Linked DNA regions of Arabidopsis thaliana. The protein of the gene in region 3 interacts with the protein of the main gene of each other region in a pairwise test. Each region holds a gene or a part of one and is shown on either strand. Other genes may lie near its edges.

Region 1 (3,122 bases), on a different chromosome or scaffold from region 3:
TGTTGTTGTTATGTCAAATTTTTCTCTCTTTTCACCTAAACTTTTGCTATACATGTCTCTCTTTTCAAATTCGTAGACGATATTTAATACATAATTTCTTGGAAAAAATATAGTAACTAATGATTATTATTGATTTGTTTTGGCGATTAATAGTAGTGAAAAGAATGCAAGTTGGACCTAGCGAGTGTGTTTACAGAGGTCGGTGCCGAGATAGCTACGAATGTAGGAGTCGATGTGGACCGCCTGAGTTCTCACATGAAACTCTTGGTTTATGCATGTTCGATTATGATGATTACGAATATTTTTGTTGTTGTACCACAAATTACTAAAAATAATTATGATTTTGGTTGAATATTTATATTTTATTTATATAGAAATGAATCATTGTTTTAAGATATGTCAACAATACAGAATTTTATATAATGTTTGCAGAAAATAATATTTTCTTGTAACAAAAATGCCCTATTTTTTGAGTTTTCATTTGAATAATACCCTATCCTTTTTCCTCTTTTAAAAACTAAATTTAAGTATATAAAATTACTAAAATTGCCTCATTAATATTTCATAATAATTAAAATGAATTTAAACTTAAAACTGAAAATTTCCATAAATTTTAAATTTTAAATTAATATTTAATATATTTTACATTTTTAAAGATAACCGTTCCTATTTTAAATATTTAAACAAAATTTCGTCCTAAAACAAAAGAAAAATAAATTAAAAAATAATCTAAGATCCTGTCTATTGAAAATTCAAAATTGTGTTTCAAACACTTGAAAATATCTTAAGTGAGAGACTTTAAAATATTTTTAGATATTATCTAATTAAATTTTAATATAGAAAATAAATAAACTGTTTTTATCTCAAAAATAGTTGAAAAAATAATTAAGATTACGATTTTTTTTCTTTCTAAATATTGTTTTAATTTATTAAGTAAACAACTTTTATTTTAAATATGGACAAAACTGTCATTTAGATATTAAAAATTAAGTTTTATTAAACACAAAGAAAATGTAGTTTTCAAATGAAAACTCAAAGATATGATAGTTTTCATAATCTTCCTTTTTAATTTCTAAATTTATAATTAATTCCAAAATAATATTGTTTTTGGTCAATAGTCCAAAAATGATTTCCTTTTTGGATCGATGATCAAACTTATACCGATTAATGTTTTTGGGCTGTAGGAGGCCCCCTGTAATTTAGCTTTTCCACTAGGATTTCCCATACTTTCAGCCTATGCCCTATTCCATTTTTCTCCCAATGTATATAATTCCACCTAAATCACTAAAATCAATTAAGCTTCTCAACTTCCGTTTGAAATTGATAATCGCATTTTACAATCGTTAACCGCAATCAAACGGTTGATCCAAACACGATCTATTAACACTTTCTCAAAGAGAAAATCCAATTCGGGTTATAACATTTTTTTTCTCCAAAATAGATAAGTCTAATCAGCACAAAACTAGATAAGAAACGATATTTGAATCTCTAGGTTTTGGATGTGTCCCACCGTCTCCATGGCTCTTCTCCGGAGTTTTACAATGAAGGTCGCACGTGACTACTTTCATTCAGTTCTAACTTATGGTAAAAGAGATTTTTTGTATTGTAATTTGTTTGTGTGTTTTGTATGTCTCAGATTTGTTTTAAATTTTAGTTTTAGTTTTGTAAATATTTTTTGAGTTTCTAAATTCCGATTCGGGAAATATTGATAGATATTATGTAGTTTGTTTGCTCGAGTTTTTTCTCCTTTGTTTACCTTCTTTAATCTTGTCTCCAGGAATGTTTTTGTACTCGTTAGCTTATCTGTCTTCAGAAATGTTCTTGTACTTTCCGACTCTTTGTATTTCATAATAACTTTCCTCCAAACTGGTCTTGCTCATATAACAAACAGATTTATCAAATTTTGTAAATAAGTAAAAAACAGTCACATGACAAAAACCAAACACAAGTATATAAAAAAGTCAAATAAAAAGAACAAAGTCATGTGCCAAAGAAGCTTCTCCATGATCCCACTCATTTACCAAAGTCGTGTCGTACAACCCACGACCTCCTCTCCTCCCCATTTACTCCAGCCATGACTCTTCACGCGCCGTCGTCACCATTATGTTGACCGACGTCTTTTGGCTTCGTACACGACGGAGCCGTTTCGTTTTCTTTCTCCTCTGTTCTCCATTACTAATCCCAATCCTCTGTGCCTCAATCCCAATCCTCTGCGCCGTCGAGATCTTTAGTCGTCTCCGTAGTCGTCATCCTTGGTTTGCTAAATCCACCGCCGAGGAAGATGATTTGAGGCTCCGGAGATGTGAAGAAGGATGTGGTTGCGGCGGGTTTGATGAACCGGAAGAAGCTGGTTTGCTTCAGAGATACTTGGAAGATCAGTTGGTTTTGGTTAGATCTGTTTATGATTGTGGTGAAGAAGATCAAGATCAAGATCAAGATTCCGATCAAATTATTAGAGTTCCTCTTCTTTCGTAAATTTCCTTTTTTCGATTCCTTTAGATTTTGATCTTTTTATGTAGATAAACAAAAATGTCAGTTTTACTATATACTTTTCAAATCCGATTAATTGAAAATTTTCTACCATTTTCGTTTCTCTTGATTCAGTTTTTTTTTTTTTTTTTTCAACAAATACACCAAAAAATAAATATTTCAACAAAAAAACACACAAAAATTCACATCATAATTATATAATTTATATATATCAAAAATTATTACGAATAGTGCAAATGTCAAAACGGATAATTTGGCACATAAAGTTCGTGTCCAACCGCATCATATCACTTATGTAAACAACATTTTTCAGGAATGACTCTTATGAACTCTAATTAAGAGTTCTAATTAATTTTGGATTAAAAAAAAAAATCATTACTAATGATAAAAGAAATTCATTACCATCAATTTTAATTTATCATCATCTCCGCCATTAATTAAGGGGCCAGGTTATTTTACTTTCCATTATTGTCAAGAGTATATTTTTCCAATAATGCTTTTTATTTTTGTTTTTTGAGAGAATTTGGTAAAAAAATGTTGGATACGAGTTCTTGTGTTGGGTCAGATCAAGGGCCACCTTTGTTTTGTGTGAACCGAGTGTGTTCCCACAAGACAAATCATACGGTGTAGGA
Region 2 (3,398 bases), 8.8 Mb from region 3:
TGGATTCGTTTTTAGATAGATTCAAGAAGAATTGAGATCAGTAATGGTGTGAATTTGCGATCTTTACTTTGGGTTAAAACTCATTTGTTGAAGGCTAGTTTCATTGTGCGAACATTGCTATGCTGATAAATGGAGGAACTTGAGATGATTTTTTTTATCTTGGGACTCAATTGTTTTGGATATGTTAGTTATTAGTGAGGTTCTGTATATTCAATTATCATCTTTTGTTTCTTGGATAGCTTTAAACCGAGTTGGTTGATAACTTGATATTTGATTAGGTTGCTACAAAAGTCAGGTTTGATTGCAAGATTTATGTATTGAGATTCAAGGGTATAGTATGGTGTTTTACATCACATTTTTAGATATCTAAAATTAAAGCTATTTTAACGGATTACGTTGAAGTTGGATGCGGATAAAACACTGCAAACAGAGGGTTTATGCGATTGGTGTAGCATTTTAATCTTGCAAAGTTGATCTAGTCTTTGCTTATTCGTTTAACTGAGAATGCTTCTGTTTGATTGACAGGTCTTGCAAAAAGCTTTGGAAGTGTGGGATCTACAAGTAATTCCACTCAATTGTCCAGATGCAGAGCCTGCGCAGATAGACCCTGAGCTTGAAAGCGCCTTTATCTGCCACTTGCATGACCATTGGTTTTGTATAAGGAAAGTGAATGGCGAATGGTATAACTTTGATAGTCTCCTTGCTGCCCCGCAACATTTATCGAAGTTCTACCTTTCTGCGTTCTTAGACTCTCTCAAAGGCGCAGGATGGAGTATCTTCATAGTGAAAGGAAACTTCCCTCAGGAATGTCCCATGTCGTCTTCTTCTGAAGCTTCCAATAGTTTCGGGCAGTGGCTTTCTCCTGAAGACGCAGAGAGAATAAGAAAGAACACGAGCTCAGGTTCTTCTGCCAGAAACAAGAGAAGTAATGACAATGTTAATCAACAAAGACGGAATCAGGCATTGTCACGTGAGGAAGTGCAGGCTTTTTCAGAGATGGAAGATGATGACTTGAAGGCAGCAATTGCAGCAAGTTTGCTTGATGCTTCTGCTGCTGAGGCCAATCTCGGAGCTGTGGGCACTTCTGAAAAGGAAACTGAGAAACAAAAGTAGCAGAGAAAATAGAGAACAAGTGTTATTGATGGAGGTGGTGGGATATTCACTTTTGTTTCTTTGTTTTGGTTTGTTATCAAGAGTTATCAACAATTTTACATACAGAACAGAGAAAGAAAAAAGCTTACATCGAAAGATAGAAAACAGAGGATAATAAATGGTTTGTGGAATTGTTTTTGTTTGATTTTTTTACCATATTAAATTCTTCTGACAATCTTAAATTGAGGATAAAGATTCGACCTTTTCGAATTCATAGGAAACTACATCTGAAAAGGGTACATAAATTACTTCAGTTGACTAAAAGTAGATGAATGACCAATTTAAATGTGTTCTATGGAAAATATAAAAGGATGGTGTAAAATTTGATTCATCTCTAAGTACAATCTGGCGAACTTTTACAGTTTGAAAAAAACAAGAAGGATAACACTTTTAGGCTGGAAATAAAAACATCGAGAGGACAACAAACACCTTCTTTTTCCCTAAACAGAGCATAGCCTTTGAATTATTAATTAATTATTTGTATATTCAAAGTTGATGGCTTTGATGATGATGGTGATGACCCAACTTTAGTCTCTTCTTCACTTTTTATTTTTACTTTCTTTGTGATACATCAGGTTCCTTCGATTCGAGCCTTTAGGATTTCCTTTCACATAATGATCTGTTTCTGACATTCAGAGAAAGATATACATATCTGGGTTACTTTTGGGATCTGATCATCTGAGGAAATCTGAATCCAAGTTTGCTCTGATCTTTCTTCTCAAATGAGTTCTTCTTCGGACAAGTTGTTCAACAGAGACAGGACAATACATGAGATTCTGGGAGGAGGCATTGGTTAGTGAATACATTTCTTTACCAAATCCAAAACTTATAAAAGCTAGGTGATCTCTCACCTCTATAGCCTTTTTTTTTTCTTGTTATGAAATGAATCTGCAGTTGCAGATGTGATGCTGTGGAGGAAGAAGAATGTGAGTGTTGGTATAGTTACAGTGACAATAGCTTCATGGATGGTGTTTGAGGCATTTGCTTACACTATCTTTACTCTTATTTCAAGTGTTCTTCTTCTCTTGCTCTCTATTCTCTTCCTCTGGTCCAAATCTGCTTCCATTCTCAACAGGTATATTAATATTCACTTGTAACTAATATTACTTCATTTCTGATTCAATTTCTTGGCTCTTCAGGCCATCACCGCCGTTACCGGAGTTTCAAATAAGTGAAGCGATGGCGGAAGAAGCTTCGATATGGTTACGTATTCATGTGAACAAGCTACTCCAAGTTTCGCATGACATTGCAATGGCAAGAGACTCAGAGTTGTATACCAAAGTAGCAGTGTCACTGTTTCTTCTCTCATTGATCGGAAGTCTCATGGATTTTCAGACACTTTGCCACACCAGTAAGTAGATATTCTAAAACTCCTATAGACTTGGAATGCTTTTGAGCTGGATATTCATTTTGTGGTTGTTCTTGGTTAATTTGGCAGGCGTTTTGGTGGTTATGACGGTTCCAGCTTTCTATGAGAGATATGAGGATTACATTGTTGGCTCTATTGAGTTTATCTGCAACAAAACTAGAGAGCTTTACCTTAGACTCGAGATATGGGCTAATCCGGAAAATAAGAAACTGAGCTGAGATGCTGTCACCTCTTTCTTCTTCAGGAGTTTCTTTTTCTGATTTTTCTCGGTTTTGTGGAAAGAAAGGAGAAAAATGTATGATTTTTGATAAATGTTGGATGGTACAGCCAATATATGAGCAATCCACAGAAATTTTATTTCACAGTTTTACTCGAAAACTGAATCTCTATTCCGAAAACAATATTCGACCAAGTTCTGGCCTCTCTCAATCACCGAAAATGAAGAAGAAAACAATGTTGCTCTTATTCCCTCTGCTTAAAACTATGTGTCTCAGTTTCTTTTGGACGCATCGAGTTCCCGGACATACTTCTTTGCCTGGATTAGAGTATTAAGAACCCGGATTAGAAAATGAGAAAGAAGACTTTGCGTGACCGATTCGAATGCGATTGCGATAAAATAAAAATTCTATCAGTTGTTACCTGTTCGAGGGTCAAAAACATGATTACGTTCCATGAGCCAAGGCGTCCAAAGTTGGGGATGAAACCCTTGTAAAATGCCATAGGACCCTGTAGAGGAAACCGTAAAGAGTTTGTAACATTTTCTGGGTTATATCTAGAACAATGGAGGTATCAGAAGCAGAGTTGCTTACGTCGCTCTTCAGAGTTTTGACGAAGCAGTCAATGGTGCCCTTGTAAGCACCAGAATCTCCCATCATTC
Region 3 (4,637 bases):
CGGGAAGAAGAAAGTATCGGTTTCGTTCGAGTGTGAGACATTGAAGGCAGATGAAGCAGCAGAGGACCATATCAGACAGTTTATGCCCAAATTAGCTGGACTTGATGCTGTTAGTAAGTAAAACCAACACTTTATTCTTGTGCCATTCTCATTACATTTATGTTGTCTTGTTTTGTTGAATCAACACACCGGGGTTTTTGCCAGTTAACATTGGACCGATGAAGATTTCCGGGCTTGATTTTGCTGCGGTGGAAGAGGGACACATAAACTAAGACAGCTTAACTCTTTCTTTTTGTGTATACATCATATTTGAATGCTCTTTGAGTCTTTGTTTCATATCGTAGAACACAATTAACGCTTTAAGCTCAAATGATCTAGACTAGAACTCATAGAAAACATAAAAGAGAAATAACCGAACCGAAACCAAACCGAAAAGCCGTACACCCACCCCTAATTTTGGGTGTCATCTTTTGCTTTCTTCTATGGAAATGGGTGGAACAAACAAACAAAAGAAAAAAAAACCCATACAATTTAGTCATTATATATAAGAAAAATCAATGCATTTAGTTACGCAATTCCTAAATAACATTGCATAAACTTTATATACATAAATCTTATTGAGACACTCAAACACTCACAAACAAATCCACAAATACTAATAAGTTTCTGCAAGAGCCCTTACAACACATACGTCCAGCTTCGTAGAGCAACAATGCAATCCAAAACTACATCCATATATAGATAAAGAAGACGGTAATTACGAAATTGTTATACTTACATGACCGATCTTGGGTCTCAGTTGTTGAAGAAAAGTCGTCAAATTAGGAATGGGAAGTTTCTGAACGCATCCTTAGAAAGTTCATGTGACAATCTCTCGAACAAGCCAGTCGAGACAAGGATAAGCGAAGTAGAGGATGAGAAACGACGGTAGAGCCAGCAAGAGAGTGACTAGAATGTACATCGCCAATATGGCTGCACTGGTCGGTATTGCATAGAGTATTATCAGCAGAAATATGACAACTAATGGGAACTTTGCTGTCAACTGGACAAAGAAAACCAGAGACTTCCTCAGTGAAGTTTGTATGTTGTCCCTTGGAATGCGATGATCATTAACAGAACGTGATGGTTCAGGTTGACTGCGATGATGGCGATTGTGGAGACATGGAGATGGAGTTTCCCTTGTATGATCATTGTTTCCATCTGTTTGAGCTCCACCAGGTGAGTTACGTCTCTCTCCATTCATCCTCTCGACCATCCAAAGCACAAAGTAGTTCTTGTGAGGGAATCTGAGTGTTCCTCTGAAGACCAGACGGAAAGACAAAAGGTTGCACCAGGGGCATGAAATGAAGAGAGGAAGCTGAACCGGGTGAGTAGGCAATTTCACAATAGCCCATTGAAGTCCCAAAATGCAGTTTTTACACATCGTATGTCCACACCATAACACATACGGAACGTTTTCAACTATATTAAATGATTCCCAGCATATAGGACACTCGAGACCTTCGTCTTTACTACCTACAGAAGATACATCGTCATCTGAACACTCCGCATGAGCATGGACCGGTCTTCTGATATCGTTTTTCGGTCCAATGTTTCCCGTAAGATAACTCGATGCTAGATTCCACATTCTAGTATCAGGGATGGATAACATGAATACCTTGTTTGTCACTAAGACCTAACCAGTTCTGCTAATACTTAACTCTCTGACCTTCATGAACACCGAACTCGATGCTTCATCGCTTCATAAGCAAAGAGAAAACACATATTAATCCTTCAAAGACAATCCCAACGACACACCGATGCAATTCCAACTAAGAATCAACTAATAAGATTAAGTGCTACATTGAGCAACCATGGTAACACAAATCATTAAGAACCTACTATACAGCAAGATTCAATTTTTATGATCAGAATCGATATTCGAACGCTTTAACTTGTATTAGAGCTCAAAGCTCGACAATTTCATCGATAAAGGGGACTCTTTTATCTTTGAGCCAAGTTTACTCACCGATGCAATTCTAACTAAGAATCAACTAAGATTAAGTGCTACATTGAGCAACCATGGCAACACAAATGATTAAGCAACTACTATATAGCAAGATTCAATTTTTATGATCAGAATCGATTATTCGAACGCTTTAACTTGTATTAGAGCTCAAAGCTCGATCATTTCAGCGATAAAGGGGACTCTTTTATCTTTGAGCTAAATTTACTCACAGATGCAATTCTATATCAGTAGCAACCAACTAATAAGACCAAGATTTAGTGATACATTAAGCAACCATAGCAACACAAATGATTAAGAAAACCCTAAATAGAAAGTTTCAATTTTTATACTCAGAATCGAAATCAGACTCTCAGACTTGTATTAGACCTAAAGCTCAATCATTTTCAGCAATAAAGATGATTCCTTTATCTCAAAGGTTATGACTTTATCCGATACAGAAGATCCCAATATAAGATTAAAGGAAGAAAGAGAAAACCCTAAAATCAAAATCACTAAATGAGATAATTGATCACAGAATTAAGCAGCTAACGAAGTAATCGAACCTAGATAGATAATTGAAAGGACAGAGCAATCAAATGGTTCACAATAACCGAAACTAAATCAGAGTGATTTAGATAAAGATTCGTACCGATTCGACTCTGCTCTGAGCTTTTTGTTTCGTACGTGAAAGAAGAAGATGCTTGATTCGATTTTTCCGGCGAGACCTAAACTTTCTGGGTTTTGTTTTGCTTTCATAAACGACGTCGTTTCAATCGTGTACCCAAGTTTTCCTTCCAAAAGTGTTTTTGATATTTTCTAACGTAAAAACTTGGTTAGTTGTTTTTTTATAAACATAATAACATTACCAACCAAAACATTTACGCTTATTGAAGATTAAGTAAACCTCTGAAAAAATAAAACACAGAGCGGTTAATTTTATTAATATAATTTAATAGAATTTTGTATTATAAGTTATTTATCAATTCAATTTTTTTAATATTTTAAAAAGAATAATAATAAATATATTAAAAAGAAGAAATATGAGAAAAAGAACAATCACGAAAGAAAAATAATAATAAAAGAAACTTTACGTTGTTTTTTTTTTATCTATATGAGTGTATATAGATAAAATGCAAATGGACTTAATATGTAAATATTTCTTTAATTTTTGCAACATTCTTCTCGTCCAGAGTTCATTTGTCATTTATCTCTTTGCGATATCTTTCATGTTGTCTCGTTAAAACTTTTCTAATAAAATCCATTGGTAGAAACCACAGTAAGGTAAAAAAGTATAATCATACAAGCTCTCCCTCGAATGACTATGGACATGGGGTGCAGGATGTTCGACATTTTTTCTTGTTACCATGTAATAATCATTGAATGCTTGAGACGTAAATTCACCAACGTTATCTAATCTAACTCCTTTGATTGGATAATCAGGAAACTCAGCTCTTAGTTTTGATTATCTGAGTTAGAAATCTCGCAAATACCACATTTCAAGATGATAACAAACAAACATGTGACCATCTACTAGACATGTCTATCATTACCATGAAATAATATAATGGTATACATGGTGGGTGTATAGGTTCACAAATGTCGCATTTGACTCGTTCAAGGAATTTTGGTAATTCTTTATCGATTTTGCTTGTCGATGGCCTTATAATCAATTTTCCAAGAGAAAACGTAACACATGTCCTTTTATTTTCTTGATAAAACTCTTAGGGTTTCATTGAATGTCCATGTGAGCTTTTTATAATTTTTTGCATCATCGTGGTGCCTGGGTGACCAAGGCGATCGTGCCACAATGTGAAATCATCATGATCTCTTTTGATAACAAGATGTGATCCTATTGAATTAATGTATGTATGATGCAATCCTGATGGGAGTCTTGGTAATTTTTCCAAAACGTGTCTTTTTCCCAATTTTTCAGAAGTGATATACATGTACTTTTTTTCATTCTCACTTGCACACTGAGTGTCATATCCATGAAGGTATATATCTTTGAAACTCAACAAATTTCTTTTTGAATTTGGTAAAAATAATGCATTATTTATCGAGAACTTTGTCCCGTTAAGTAATGCAAAATTTGTTTTACCGGTCCATTCAATTAAGTCTATGGGACCTGATATTGTGTTAACAATAACTTTTGTTGATTTCAAATGAGAGAATTTTTTTTTTTGTTTTAGAATAGTGTGTGTTGTTCCACTATTCGGTATGCAAATATCTCTAAGGTTTGCCTTGGATACCATTCCATTTGTAATGTGATCCATTTCTGAAATAAACATAATCGATTAAGGTAAGTAGAAAATAAATTTATTAATCAAGCATATAACACCCGATAATTATACATGATAGGTAACACAAGCACACAATAATTACACATGATAGGTAATACAAACACACAAACTTAGGAAATTTCAAGCAAGCGTCGATTTATTTATGACATATTAATTCGAGCCCCACACGATAGAAATTTCAGTTTTCCACAAGGACAACCTCATCGAGATCATTAGCAAAGTCAGAAGCATCAAGGTGGGTTGTACCCTCAGAATGTTCCGCAAGGTTCACTTCCTTTCCTTTTCCCTTAACAGATTTTTTGTACAGAGCACAAAGGTGTGCTGGAGTTCGGCATACCTGATACCGATGT
Region 4 (4,367 bases), on a different chromosome or scaffold from region 3:
TTTCCATTGGGCCCTATCATAATTTATCCATCAACAGCCCAATCTTTTTAGCGCCACGCATAAAGCTTGGCTCCCTTTTTTGGTTTTTTTTCTCCTCGTTTTAAATGTTAAAACTAGGTTGTTTTACTTGTGTTTTGATATTTTTAACTATTGTTTGTAGTACATGTGTTTGATTCAATTTAGTTTCATATTGCCATCTTTCTGCAATTCTTTTTTTTTTTAATGTAGATAAGTACATACCATTGTTATGACTTTTTTTAGTTTATGTTGGTATTTATAAGTAGCTAGGTTATGACTTGTGTCATATATCATGTGTTATTACATCATGCCTCTGTTCGAGACTACGTCGCCTTCATCCATCACTACTCTTCCTGTCTGTCTGATCGGAACCGCAACTCCATCCTCTTACCTTTTCCCAACCTAAAACAAAAAGAGATGAATTTTCTGTTCGAAGTGATGTTCAGAGTTCATGAATTCATTAATTACATTTACGGGCCAGCCAGAATTTGGCCATTTCGCAAATTCACCTATACTAAAACGGTGTGAAAGGAAGAACGAAAAATACAAAGGCACAATCTTTTTTAAAAATAGATAGATATATAATTATCTTCATCACACGTAACGTAATGGACCTAGTAACCTATACAGCTTCCATACATTGGGAAAGTAAGAAGAAAAAACAAATAAGGGACAAAGAGTTACTTGAAAAGAATTTATAGTTCATTTTCTACACATTCAAAGATGATAAATAACTCCACAGCTTAAAGGGAAGCTTTACTTTACTTTTAGCTTTCTTTTTTTGATTTTGTTTTCTTCTGTACCGGAAGAATTGAAACGATGTGTATGATAGATACATTGGTCTTCCTCCCTTCACAAAATGGTGCATGTGCAGATTACTGCCTTTGGTGCTTTATCAACCTTCTTCTCTGTTTAATCAAAAACCAGTATTCAACTGTTAGTTAGCTTTCATCAACAAACGTCTTAGTAATCACAAACTCACTTTCCACGACTTTCTCAAGTTTGTGAAAAAACAAATTATGCAGACAAATCTCAAAGACTGGCAAAAGTTTTCAGTGGGGTTTACAAGGAGATGACGACCAATAATGAATTCAGGTATTCCTTTCCTCATGGCATGCTTTGCTAAGCTTAGAGCTGATTTTTGCTTTATTTCACACAAAGAACACACCAGAAACCTAGGAATGAATTCTAGGGTATCCTTTACTCTCTCTCAAGACAAACAAACCAAATTTAGACAAAACCACTAATCACCTGATAGGTTGATTGAGTCAGTACCATAGGCTGTTAGAAAGAAAAAGAATGTACTGATCTTAGTCACCGACTAACTTTCTGATGTGCATGAACACTCTTACGAAATCTTACCAGCCTCAATTAATATAAGTATGACTAGAGCTAGATATTATAAGACGTAAAGTTGAGCCAGATAAATGAATACCATAATCCATACAGTTGACAAGATAAATACCACAAGACTAATGAAAGATTGAGGAACCTCTAAGGACACATATATCTCCATGAAACGGGAATTCTCTGATATAAAAGACATGAAGAACATTACACATAGACAAACAACTACCTGTTTTGGATTTAGCTAGAGAAGGCTGTACAACAACATGCATCACAATGACTCCACCAGCAATATCTCCAAATGGTGTCTTACACTGCCCAACAGTCTTGTTGTTCTCCAAGATCTTACCCGAGCTTATCAGCTTCACTTCGTTTATCCCCTTTGGAACAACTGTTTTGCCTAACCAAAACCACAAAAAAATTGATGCTTGGATCAACCTCAAATCACAGAGACTTGGCTTTTCTCATACATCAAGCTTATAACATCTCAAATGAGCTAATAATAATTCATCTACAGCTCTAAATTTCGAATTTCTACCGACAATTGCAGGATTCAGTGACAATCAACACGAAATTCGTGGGAAGATCATGAATAAAACCAGGATCAGATTGGGGAAAAAGGGGCACCGATTCAAAAAACCTTAAAACTAACCTTTGGGCCAATCAGAGACGACCCTCTGCTTCAAAAAGTCAACAGTAGAAGCCGCAGAATACCGAAAAGGCCCGATATCGGAGCCATCGTACAACCTGAATTTGATATCTATCGATTCTTCCTCCGGCATATCCGTTGACTTCTCTCTGACCTCCGATTACCAACCAAATTCCAGCTCCGATCACCAATCCCGCTTCTCAAACACAACTATTTCAGATCTGAAAATAGGTCTGAAAAAAAGTAGACAGGAACGAGAATCAGAGCTCGCTTCGAAACGGGATAGAACAAAAAAACAAAAAACAAAAAAGAGGAAGAATCAAACACACAGAATCGAAGCTTCCTCCGAAATCGTGTTTCGGATCTTTGATTTTGAGGTGTGAAAAAAGCGAAAGAAGGAAGAAGAAAGAGCTTGCTTTTTTCAAGAGTCACCAAATATCAAAGTTCCTTCTCAAGCCGACGGTTTTCACTTTTTTCCTTCCTTTTTTTTTTCCCCTTTCTTTTCGTCGTCACTTCTACTTCTTCTCAAGCCGACGTCTTCAACTTTTATTGTCCTAGCCAAAAACGCTGTCGTTTTATTCGAATTTACCTGTCTAACTGTTCCCACTTCCCACCATACTTTTTTTTTCTTCTTCTACAATAATATAATTCGTTCTGATTTTGGCAGTATTGTGTGGTTAAGACATCATAATTCTGATTTTAGTAGGGCTCCAAATCTTATACGAGTCGGCCAATATATAATATATTAGTTGTATGCAACAAAACAAAACGATGGAAACTTTCCAATACTTATTTCTACAAGTTGACACTTCTTCACTTGAACTCTTTTCTTTCACTGGAGTTGTATCCTTTAACACCACTAGTGCTCTTTTTATTTAGGTATTCTTTATCATTTTATATTTCATTATACATATCTTTAGATACTGCCAAAATGTTTTATTAAAAAGGAAGAAGATACATTCGATTACTTTTCTTATGATTCGAGTTATGCGTTACTTCTTCTCCCAGACAGCAAAGTCAAGGCCTGAATAAGCTAAAGCAAAATTAGAAGGAACAAGTGTTCCCACATCTTGCTTTGGTCCAATCTTCATGATAACTTTATCATCAATCATAGCCAAGTAGAGATCCGCCTCTGCCGCTTTTATCGTTACAGAGCTTGTGCTACCAATCCCATTTTTGTTCCTGATAGCCACCAGCTTTGAGATGCTCTCTTTTAGTCCCCATTCTATGTAATGATTATAAAACTGCAACAAAAATAACATATCAACAAGATTGTAGTTGTAAATAGTATAGCTACATACTAAAATGATACTTACAATGCAAGGAGTTCCTGGATGAGTAAGTATATAAACGTATCCAAGCAAGACTTTATCAGAAGGGAAAACCCACGTTCTGAATGTATCATGGTTATCTATGAATGTGACAGCGTTTCCGGGCATGATTCCTATCATACCAGGCGGTTTTCCCTGCGAGTCCTTTAGTCTCCAAAGCTCACCTTTGACAGCAGACTGTAAGATCCCTTTGGTGGTGAAATCAAAAGCTGTCAACACACCACCACCCGCTTCCTCGATCCACTGTTTGAGACCCGACCGATGCTCGTTCTGATCATAGTCTAGTTTCCCGTCTCCTCCGTACTTCATATCGTCCCATTTCTCACCCACCGCAAAATCCGGTGATGTATTCTGTGTATCCAAAAACAGAGGAATTTATCACATAATCAGTAGTGAACTTTCTTATATATTTCTTATTGATTGCATTGACTTATGTTTCTTATATACTAAATAGTAGTAAATAACCCTATCAACCTATGATACTTATATATACTAATAGTAAATAATTATCTCAACCTATGTTTCTTATATACTAATACTGTTGTCTGATATTTGAGAATTCATATGTGATTTACCTGAACGTATAATTTGGTGATGGAAGATGCATAACCTCGAACATAATCAAATCTCCAACCATGGAATCCGATTTCAGTTTTAAGCCAATTCATCCATTCGGACAACTCTTTCTGAACTCTAGGGTTAAGGTGGTCGATGTCGGGCGCTCCATCAAAATCTCCTCCGGTGTCGAGGTTTCCGGTACCGGGAAATTTAGGGTCATTGCGGCAGACAAAGGAAGGATCCCAATCAAGACGATCATCGGAAGTCCCACCTTCGAAATAACAGTATCCACATTTATCGTCTTTCCTCTCAGCTGTTCTGTGGTTAATCACTATATCAGCCAAAGCTTTTATTCCTTTTTGATTCAACGCTTTGATTAACGATTTCAGTTCCGCCTCTGAACCGTATTTGGAGCTGTTTAGATCGTATAGCTTTCCCGGTAAGTAACCTGAGGAATGAAGATT

Evidence for each region.
Region 1: the proteins of AT3G29270 (region 3) and AT1G35430 interact in a two-hybrid assay, tested with the Arabidopsis thaliana proteins (one large-scale study listed by BioGRID).
Region 2: the proteins of AT3G29270 (region 3) and AT3G54120 interact in a two-hybrid assay, tested with the Arabidopsis thaliana proteins (one large-scale study listed by BioGRID).
Region 4: the proteins of AT3G29270 (region 3) and ATGP4 interact in a two-hybrid assay, tested with the Arabidopsis thaliana proteins (one large-scale study listed by BioGRID).

The regions. Positions count from the first base shown.
Region 1 is NC_003070.9:13,030,013-13,033,134, reverse strand, and holds AT1G35430 (uncharacterized protein), read left to right. Parts: upstream 1-1,759; 5' UTR 1,760-2,103; coding exon 2,104-2,475; 3' UTR 2,476-2,582; downstream 2,583-3,122. Other genes in the region: AT1G35435 (Putative membrane lipoprotein), read left to right, coding at 154-329.
Region 2 is NC_003074.8:20,040,610-20,044,007, reverse strand, and holds AT3G54120 (Reticulon family protein), read left to right. Parts: upstream 1-1,667; 5' UTR 1,668-1,874; coding exon 1,875-1,944; intron 1,945-2,046; coding exon 2,047-2,227; intron 2,228-2,291; coding exon 2,292-2,503; intron 2,504-2,590; coding exon 2,591-2,739; 3' UTR 2,740-2,882; downstream 2,883-3,398. Other genes in the region: AT3G54130 (Josephin family protein), read left to right, coding at 526-1,113; PUMP1 (plant uncoupling mitochondrial protein 1), read right to left, coding at 3,012-3,056, 3,161-3,247, 3,331-3,398.
Region 3 is NC_003074.8:11,232,340-11,236,976, reverse strand, and holds AT3G29270 (RING/U-box superfamily protein), read right to left. Parts: upstream 2,805-4,637; 5' UTR 2,637-2,804; exon of another isoform or gene 1,740-2,636; 5' UTR 1,652-1,739; coding exon 860-1,651; 3' UTR 519-859; downstream 1-518. Other genes in the region: AT3G29280 (uncharacterized protein), read left to right, coding at 1-113, 205-272.
Region 4 is NC_003075.7:12,849,103-12,853,469, forward strand, and holds ATGP4 (Ubiquitin family protein), read right to left. Parts: upstream 2,709-4,367; 5' UTR 2,344-2,708; exon of another isoform or gene 2,248-2,343; 5' UTR 2,148-2,247; coding exon 2,018-2,147; intron 1,766-2,017; coding exon 1,595-1,765; intron 927-1,594; coding exon 871-926; 3' UTR 549-870; downstream 1-548. Other genes in the region: AMY1 (alpha-amylase-like protein), read right to left, coding at 3,007-3,258, 3,331-3,696, 3,921-4,351. UniProt on the Arabidopsis thaliana protein: May serve as docking site to facilitate the association of other proteins to the plasma membrane.